Caenorhabditis elegans: one gene and its partner. The protein of the gene in region 1 purifies or fractionates together with the protein of each later gene. This does not show direct contact. Each region holds a gene or a part of one and is shown in the gene's direction. Other genes may lie near its edges. The genes, in order: C11D2.7 and Y47D3A.21.

Region 1 (3,484 bases):
CTTATGCCATGTGAAACGACAAAAGATATTGAAAAATGGTGGAATTCCCTTGTTGATTAGTTCATTTTTTAATTATTTACATTCTCTTGTTGATCTATCTTTTTTAATGTATTCAGGTTATATTGTTACGAGGTATTCAAAAACGCTTTACGAATATTAATTGTGCTTTCACCGAATGAACAGATTTTTATTGGTTTCGTATATAAAATTTTTCAGATGTTTTCTTTTCAGGTTTCCAATGTAGTCCTTAATTTTGTACGATTAATCAAGAAAAATGTTTTTATTAGCGAAACTATTAGTGGGTAATTTAATTGATTTTTAGTTAAAGAAATACTTTTTAAAACATCTGAAAAAGCTGTAAAACGACGACTTTAATTTTTTAAATATAAAAATACAGCATTTTTTGTCGAGAAATAAAATGTGTTTCAGTCTGCATTGCGTACACGACACTTTAACGTACGACAATTTGCTAGGCACTGTGCAGAAGGAGGAGACGCAGAGACACATCTGCGGAGCGTCGTAACAAACACGTTTTTCTCTTTAAAATTTTTATTTTCATTTTTTACTACTCGGTAGAATTGTCACATATTTTTCACTTTTTAGGTCAGAAAATGCTTATTGACGAAGTCCTCGGTCCTGCGGAATCTGGAAAATTCATCGTCGAGCATGGAAATCTCGTCAAAATCAACCAGGCAGGCGTTCGAAAAGTAGCAGAACATGTAAATCCTAAAAATAAATGTTGAATGAATGTAGATTAATATTTATAGATTCTCGGAGCTGCAAAAGATGGATCTCTGAAAGAAGCTCTTTTCTTATCGCCGGAATTACACCCGAAAAGTGGAGATAAAGATGCCGTCCAGTGGTGAGAAAACTTAAATTGTAACTATTCCTCAAATCTGATCTTTTTAAATTTGAAATCATATTAAATTGAATTAATTTCAGGGTATTATTGGTGGATACAATCAATTTCTCATTCTGGCCGGATGAGGGAGATCACTATGATGTTAGCTGGGGTGGAAAAGCTTACACTGGTTACTTCGCAGCATGTGCCGCTGTCAACAAGGCTATAGCCGCCGGAATTCCAGTACTTTCTGCTGAATGGATGAAAAATGTTGGCAGAGAAGAAATCGACAGGATTTTCAAATCCGATTCAGGACACTCAATTCCACTACTTGACGATCGAGTGAAGGCTATCAATGATTCAGGAAAAGTTCTTCTCGAGAAATTCGATGGACAATTTTATAATTGTGTTATAAAATCAGAGAAATCCGCTCAAACTTTGCTGAAATTAATCGTCGAAAACTTTGTCTCTTTCCGCGATTTTGCCGAATTCAACGGACAAAAAGTTTCGCTTCTGAAGAGAGCACAGATTCTCGTTGCGGATGTCTATGGATCCCTTCAAGGTCACGATGATGCGGGAAATTTCAAGGATATTACCACGATCACAATGTTTGCTGACTATCGTGTTCCGCAAGCTCTCGCTTATCTTGGTGCTCTGGATTATTCAGAAGAACTTTTGAGCCAATTGGGTGAAGGAAAACGATTGGAGAATGGATCAAAAGCGGAAGTTGAACTCAGAGGAGCATCTATTGCAGTTTGCGATGTAAGATTCCAGATATTTCTGAAATTTTGTTGTATTAAACGCTAAATTTTCAGGAAATTGTCGCCAAGATGAACGAACTTCGTGAAACCGATCCAAGATTCTCTGATGTTTGTGAAGTTAACGCCATGGAAGTTGATGTCTATGTCTGGGGATATCGTCGACTTTATGCTGCGGATGTTGAAAAGAAAGTCCCGTTCCACAGGACTCGCTGTATTTATTATTAAATCTGTATATGTAAATATTAGTATTTAATTTTTAGTGTGAATTCTAGTGATTTTAGCTTTTCGTATCATCTTCTGTTTTCATTCCGTGTTTTTTTTCTTTCACAGGTTTTAAATACTTTATTTAACACATTCCATTGACACTTCACTTTGAGCCTTAATTTGTTATATGAATTTTAACATTGTTTTTATTTTGCTGAATTCTTTTGTTTTGGTTGTATACCAATTTTTTAAACTTATCCTTGTTTTCATTTAGTTCAAATCTTACAATTTTTTTTCAAGAACCATGTTCAAAAAATTCGACGAGAAGGAAGATGTGACAGGCGCTACTCAGCTCAAGTCCAGTGTTCAGGTATCATCTTTAATTTTAATTAACTAATAATTATAAAAATTTTTAGAAAGGAATTCGCAAGAAGCTGATCGAGAACTTCCCCTACTTGGAGCCACATCTTGAGGAGATCCTCCCGAAAAAGGAGAATTTCAAAGTGATCAAATGCAAGGATCACATTGAATTGCTCGCCGATCATCTGGGTGTCGTGCGATTTGTTAAAACACGTAACACTGATTACATTCCAACTTTGAGAACACTTCACAAGTATCCATTCATTCTTCCACATCAACAGGTTGGTTATAAATTGATTATTTACCTGGTTCAACATTTCCATTTATTGATGAAAATTCAAATTTCAGGTCGACAAAGGTGCCATCAAATTCATCCTGAACGGATCTTCAATAATGTGTCCTGGATTAACATCGCCAGGAGCTAAACTCACTCCTCTCGTACCAAAGGATTCAGTGGTTGCTGTGATGGCTGAAGGAAAGCAACATGCGTTGGCAATTGGTTTGATGTCAATGAGCAGTGAGGAAATTCAATCTGTGAATAAAGGAAACGGAATTGAAAATCTTCATTATTTGAACGATGGGCTGTGGCACTTGGCTGAAAAATCGTTGAACTGATGTGCTCGAATTCCCGGTCGTCGTGCTCTTTATCAGACTTCCAATAATTTGAGATGATCTTTATTTTATATGTCCATTTTGGGATTTAATTTATATTTTCATGCACTTTCTTTTGTTGTATCTTTTCCTTTTCCATCTCGATTCTCATAAAATTTCCAAAGTTTTCCGTCGAGTTTCTTGATTCTCTTTTCTTCCCTTTCAATACGCCACGCTATTTCTTCCAGTTGAGATTCCTCATTTTTGCGAACTTGCCTGCAATTTCTCAACATCAGAGCGAAACAAAACAAACTTCACTTACTGATTCGCGTGATGAGTCTGTCGTAATGCGTGAAGTTGAGTTGTCAAGCTGCTCAACTTAAAGGCTTTCTCCGAGAAATCATCGACTAAAACCTGAAAAGAATTGTCCAGAGCACATTGATACTTCTCGGTTACTTCATTGCAAACAGCCAAGCATCCAAGAGCCTCACTGATTTTATTATTCTGCTGCTCAATGTTCCTGGAAAAATTATTTTTGCATTAAAGTACACATGAGCAAATATTATCTCGCTAGGTATTTGGCGGGAAAACTGAAAATTCGAGCGATTTCTAAATATAATTATTACCATTTTCTAATCATTCTCCGTCTATTTTGATGTGTTTCCTGCTGGCCTAAACATGCATTTATAACAATTAATTCGGCACGAAAATCATTTAACAAACAACA
Region 2 (4,989 bases), on another chromosome or scaffold:
TTCTCAAAATTTTGCAGCTAATGTCCCTATCAAAAGAAGGAAATCTTCGACGAGAGAATACGTGTGCTTCTGAAGAAAATGGAAATATTCGGATGAAAACTTGCTCGAAAAAAGCACAATTTAACGAGCGTTGGGCTTATGAGGTGAGATTTTATGGGAAAAATTTCGAAAAAAACCGCAAAAAATCGCTCAAAAATCAAAATTTAATTTTTTATGGACTTTTCTTTTTAAAAAAAATCAATAAATTTAATTTTAACGACATTTTTCTTTTAAAAAACCGATAAGCCCATTTTTATCCATTTTTTGTTTCAAAAAATCGATAAATTTATTTTTTTTAATCGATTTTTTTTATAGAAAAATAGATTTTTTAAAAAAATCATTTTTTCAGAAAAATCGATAAATCCAATTCTTATCGATTTTTTTTATTAAAAAAATCAATAAACTTATTTTTCATCGATTTTCCGCAAATAAAAATCGATGAATCCAATTTTATCGATTTTTACAAAGAAAAATGAATAAATTTAATTTTTCTGCAATTTTTCGATAAAAAATCAATGAACTTATTTTTTATCGACTTTTTCTTTGCAAAAAAATCGATAAATTCATTTTTTCAATCGATATTTTTAATTTTTTTTTAGAATTCAAAAATACTTTTTTTGTCGAAAATTGGACCAAATTTCCGTTAAAAAATCCGAATTTTTCAGAATAAAATGATTCGAAATCTGAAAAGTGGAAAATGCATGTCAACAGCCAACTTGAAGCCCGGCGACAATGCAATCGTTGTCGAATGTGATGAAAAGGATGAACATCAGAAATGGAATTTTATCGATCCGGCGAAAGCTTAAAATTTGAAAAAGTCCGCCGCTGATTTTCAGATGAAATTCTTGAAAAAATCGGAAAAATTCTGAAAATTTCATAATAACTTATTCATTTTTCTTTTTAATTTAACGCTTTAACTAATTTTCATTGAAATTCCAAATTTTTTACTTTCCATTCCTTTTTCCTCCGGTTAGGCCGTTTTGTAGTCCTCGTGGACAACAATTTTCAGAATTTTCGAAAAATTAAATATTTTTTAAATTTTAAATTCAAACGAGGTTTTTTAAAAACGTTGAATATTTGAATATTAAGCTTTGTACTCCTTTTGGAGGAAATTTTAAAAAAAATCGAGTTTTGTAGTCCGCGTGGACAAGTTTTTCTTTTAGTTTTCCACTTTTTTGAAGTTTTTTTTCGCGAAAAATCAAAATCTTAATTTTCCTAAAAATCGAAATCAATTTTTCGAGAAAAAATCTCAAAAACTTGTCCACGAGGACTACAAAATCAATTTTTTCGAATTTTTTCTGATTTTGTAGTCCTCTCGGACAAGACGGTTGGGTCACAAAAATTTGTATTTATTGCCAAAAAATGTTGAATTTTCTCCCCTGTTTCCTAGTCAATTTACGGCTCCAATTCACTTTGCTTCCCCAAATTTCTTGTTCTGTGATACTCTTTTTTTCGGTTTTTCTGGGTTTTTTCGTTGTATTTATGTGATTTTATTGTATTTTATTGCATTTTTTTGCATTTTTCGTGGTTAAAATGGTGAAAAAAAAATTTTTTTCAATTTTTACCCGAAAATCCCGTTTTTCCTCGGGAAATTATATTTTTATTAGCTTTTTGAGCCATTTTTTAAATCGATTTTTTATAGAATGTCTGACGGTGAGACTGCTGTTATTCAATCTCTGGCTCCAGGGCCAATTGATGGAGTTTCTTATCCATTGAAAATGGTTTATTGTGGACGTGAGTTGATTTTTTTGGCTGAAAGTTTGAAAAAAATTGGGAAAAAATCGAGTTTTGTAGTCCTGTTTTGATAACAATCTTGAAAAAAAAAATTTTTTTTGGTTGAAAAATCTGAAAATAAATCGATTTTTGCAAATATTTCGATAAAAATTATTTTAAAAGTTTCAGAAAAATCTACAAAACTCAAAATTCGGAGTTTTTCGTCAAAAAGTTTAAAAAAATCGAGATTTTTTGCAAAAAAATAGGAAAAAAAATTTAAAAAAATCGAGATTTTTGCAGAACAAAAAAAATAGGAAAAAAATGAGAAAAAATCGAGATTTTTTTGCAGAAATAGGCGAAAATTTGCAACAAAAAATCGGAAAAAAACGAGAACAAAATGTTTTTCCCCAAATTGAAAATTTCGAAAAAAAAGCTAAAAAAATTATTCAGAATGCTCAATGCCACCAGAATACTGTGACTATTCGGGACAAACGGACGTCTGTCGTGCTTGGGCCACTCAAAATGCTCCAGAACTTCTCGAAGGTCTTGAAATTTCCGATGAACCAGCAGCCGACGGTGATGAGAAAAAGAAGCAGAAGCGTGGAGGAAAGGGCTCAAAAACTGGAGCCGCTGCTGCTCAGGCTGCTGCTTCCGGCGGAAAAAAGAAGGGCGGTGGACCACAGAAAGTGACGTTGCAACGGGAGCCACGTGGAAAGAAGAGTGTCACTGTTATTAAGGGTCTCGCCACTTTTGGTATGGAGTAAAATTCGAAGAGTTTCAGAAAAATTGAAAAAAATTAAATTTTACAGTTTTTTAGGAAGAAAAAATTGGAAATTTGCATAGAATTGCTGAGTTTTTGAGGATTTTTTTTCTACCAAAAATCAAAAACTGTTGTAATTTTTTTTTCAGACAAAAACGTAAACTTAGGTAAAAATGAAAACAAAATTTTTTTTTGTTTCTTTTTTTAGAACCGCAGTTTTTAACCAAAATTCCAGCAAAATGCCAATTTTTTGTCGAAAAATCTACAAAATTCAAATTTCGGAGTTTTTATACATACAAAAAGTTTTGAAAATTAAACCACTTTTAGTACGGAGCAGCAATTTTATTTTTAAAAAATTAAAAATCTAGATTTTTTAGGTTAAAATTTGTGAAGAAGTAGTTTTTTTAAAAAAATTTTTTGCAACTTTTGTAGTTCGCTCGGACAAAAAATGCTTTTAAGAAACTAGTTCTTCACAAATTTTAACCTAAAATCTAGATTTCTGATGTTTTTTTAAAAATTGGTTTTTTTTTCTTAAAAAAAACCACAAAAATTTGAATTCTCACTAAAAACTTGTCCAAAAATACTACAAAACTCTCTTCGAGAACTACAAAAATGGAATTTTTATGTCCAAGAGGACTACAATAGGGACTTCGCTTCAAAATCGAAAATACCTTCAAATTGATAAAAAATCGTGTTTTTTTTTCAATTTTGACAAAATTCCCTTCAAAATGAGTATTGCGACCAATCAGCGATTTGCTCCGCCCACTTTTGAACCAATCAGATTCAAAAAAGGGAGAAGTGAATCGCGGATTGGTCGCAATACTCATTTTGAAGGGAATTTTGTCAAAATTGAAAAAAAAACACGATTTTTTTCAAATTTAAAGGTATTTTCGATTTTGAAGCGAAATCCCCATTGTAGTCCTCTTGGACATAAAAATTGAATTTTTGTAGTCCTCTAAGAGAGTTTTGTAGTATTTTTGGACAAGTTTTTAGTGAGAATTCAAATTTTTTGTGGTTTTTTTTATTTTTTTGGAGTAAAAATCATTTAATTATTGATTTTTTCGAAATTTACAATATAAAATTCGTAAAAATTTTCGAAAAATTCCAAACATTTTCCAGACATCGATCTAAAAGTGGCTTCAAAGCTGTTCGCCCAGAAATTCGCGTGCGGCTCGTCAGTCACCGGAGCCGATGAGATTGTGATTCAGGGAGATGTGAAGGATGATCTTTTGGATTTGATTCCCGAGAAATGGAAGCAAGTGACCGATGAGCAGATTGATGATCTCGGAGACAAGAAACGATAAATTTTTTTGGCTGAAAAATCGATAATTTGAAAAAAAAAACATTTTTTACTCTGTTAAATTCAATTTTTCGGTGTATTTTTTTAGGTTAAACAGCAAAAAAAATTCTCTAAAATCGAAAAAATCAACTTTTGAAAAAAAAAAATCCCAAAAATCGAATTTTTAAAAAAAATCTTTAAAAATTGAAAATTAAAAAATCGATTTTTCTAGAATTTTTTTCTTGACAATCGATAATTTTTTTTCAAATTATCGATTTTTAAGAATTTTTTCTTGAAAATCAATATTGTTTTAAACTGTTTAATCTAAAAAATACACTAAAATATTAGGTTTTCAACTAAAAAAATTGTTTTTTTTTTCAATTTTTGAATTTTTTGTTACAATTTTTCTCTATCTCCGGTTATTCCATATTTCCTGCTAATTAATTTGATTTTTTCCATCGATTTTTCATGTTTCTCGCTCTTTTTTTCTGATTTCCATAAATTACACTTTTTTTTTGAATATTTTCAACAACCATTAAACATTAGAGTTTTGTAGTCCTCTCGGACAAACCACAGAAAAATTTTGAATTTTTTTTGTCCGAGAGGACTACAAGAAAGCTTAAATTGGAGGAAATCTATTTTTAAAAAGCTTAACTTTTGTAGTCCTCTCGGAAAATATTACCAAAAAAAATAGTCGAAAAATGCAAAGTCAAATCCCAATTTTGTAGTCCTCTTGGACACAATTTCCATAATTTTTTAATTTCTAAAAAAATTTAATTTTCAGAATATTTATTTCAAATAGACAATGAGATTCAAATAAGCATAGAGATATACAAATAAATAATTTTTTCGCAAAAAAAAATCAATAAAAAGTGGGCGGAGCTTAATTAAGGTTTCGACGAATGCGGTGGAAGTGGGTCTCGGAACGCGTTTCCCACGTGAATCCAATTGGTTTTCCGGGCGTCTTTGAGACTTTCTCGAAGCTTTGACATACGGTATTCGTGCATTTCTGTAGAGAAAAAAAATCGATAAATGGGCGGAGCCTATTGCAAGTCCGCCGCGCACTTTTTTTGGATTTTTTTTGAAAATTTTACAAAAAATACAGTTTTTTAAACTTAAATTAATTTTTTTAAAACTGAAAATCTACCATTTTCAGTCAGAAAAGGGGCGGAGCCTATTGCAAGTCCGCCGCGCACTT

What was found.
Region 2: the proteins of C11D2.7 (region 1) and Y47D3A.21 fractionate together in Caenorhabditis elegans (co-fractionation; one large-scale study listed by BioGRID). This does not show direct contact.

The regions. Positions count from the first base shown.
Region 1 is NC_003282.8:6,154,019-6,157,502, reverse strand, and holds C11D2.7 (PUA domain-containing protein), read left to right. Parts: upstream 1-2,106; 5' UTR 2,107-2,110; coding exon 2,111-2,176; intron 2,177-2,222; coding exon 2,223-2,447; intron 2,448-2,514; coding exon 2,515-2,781; 3' UTR 2,782-2,879; downstream 2,880-3,484. Other genes in the region: unc-77 (Sodium leak channel NALCN), read left to right, coding at 1-60; C11D2.4 (Queuosine 5'-phosphate N-glycosylase/hydrolase), read left to right, coding at 612-719, 768-862, 943-1,603, 1,657-1,827; C11D2.3 (BLOC-1-related complex subunit 5), read right to left, coding at 2,880-3,033, 3,080-3,277.
Region 2 is NC_003281.10:11,275,610-11,280,598, reverse strand, and holds Y47D3A.21 (Density-regulated protein homolog), read left to right. Parts: upstream 1-1,681; 5' UTR 1,682-1,682; coding exon 1,683-1,773; intron 1,774-2,202; coding exon 2,203-2,505; intron 2,506-3,631; coding exon 3,632-3,816; 3' UTR 3,817-4,302; downstream 4,303-4,989. Other genes in the region: gly-9 (putative N-acetylgalactosaminyltransferase 9), read left to right, coding at 18-143, 705-845; Y47D3A.20 (uncharacterized protein), read right to left, coding at 4,679-4,800.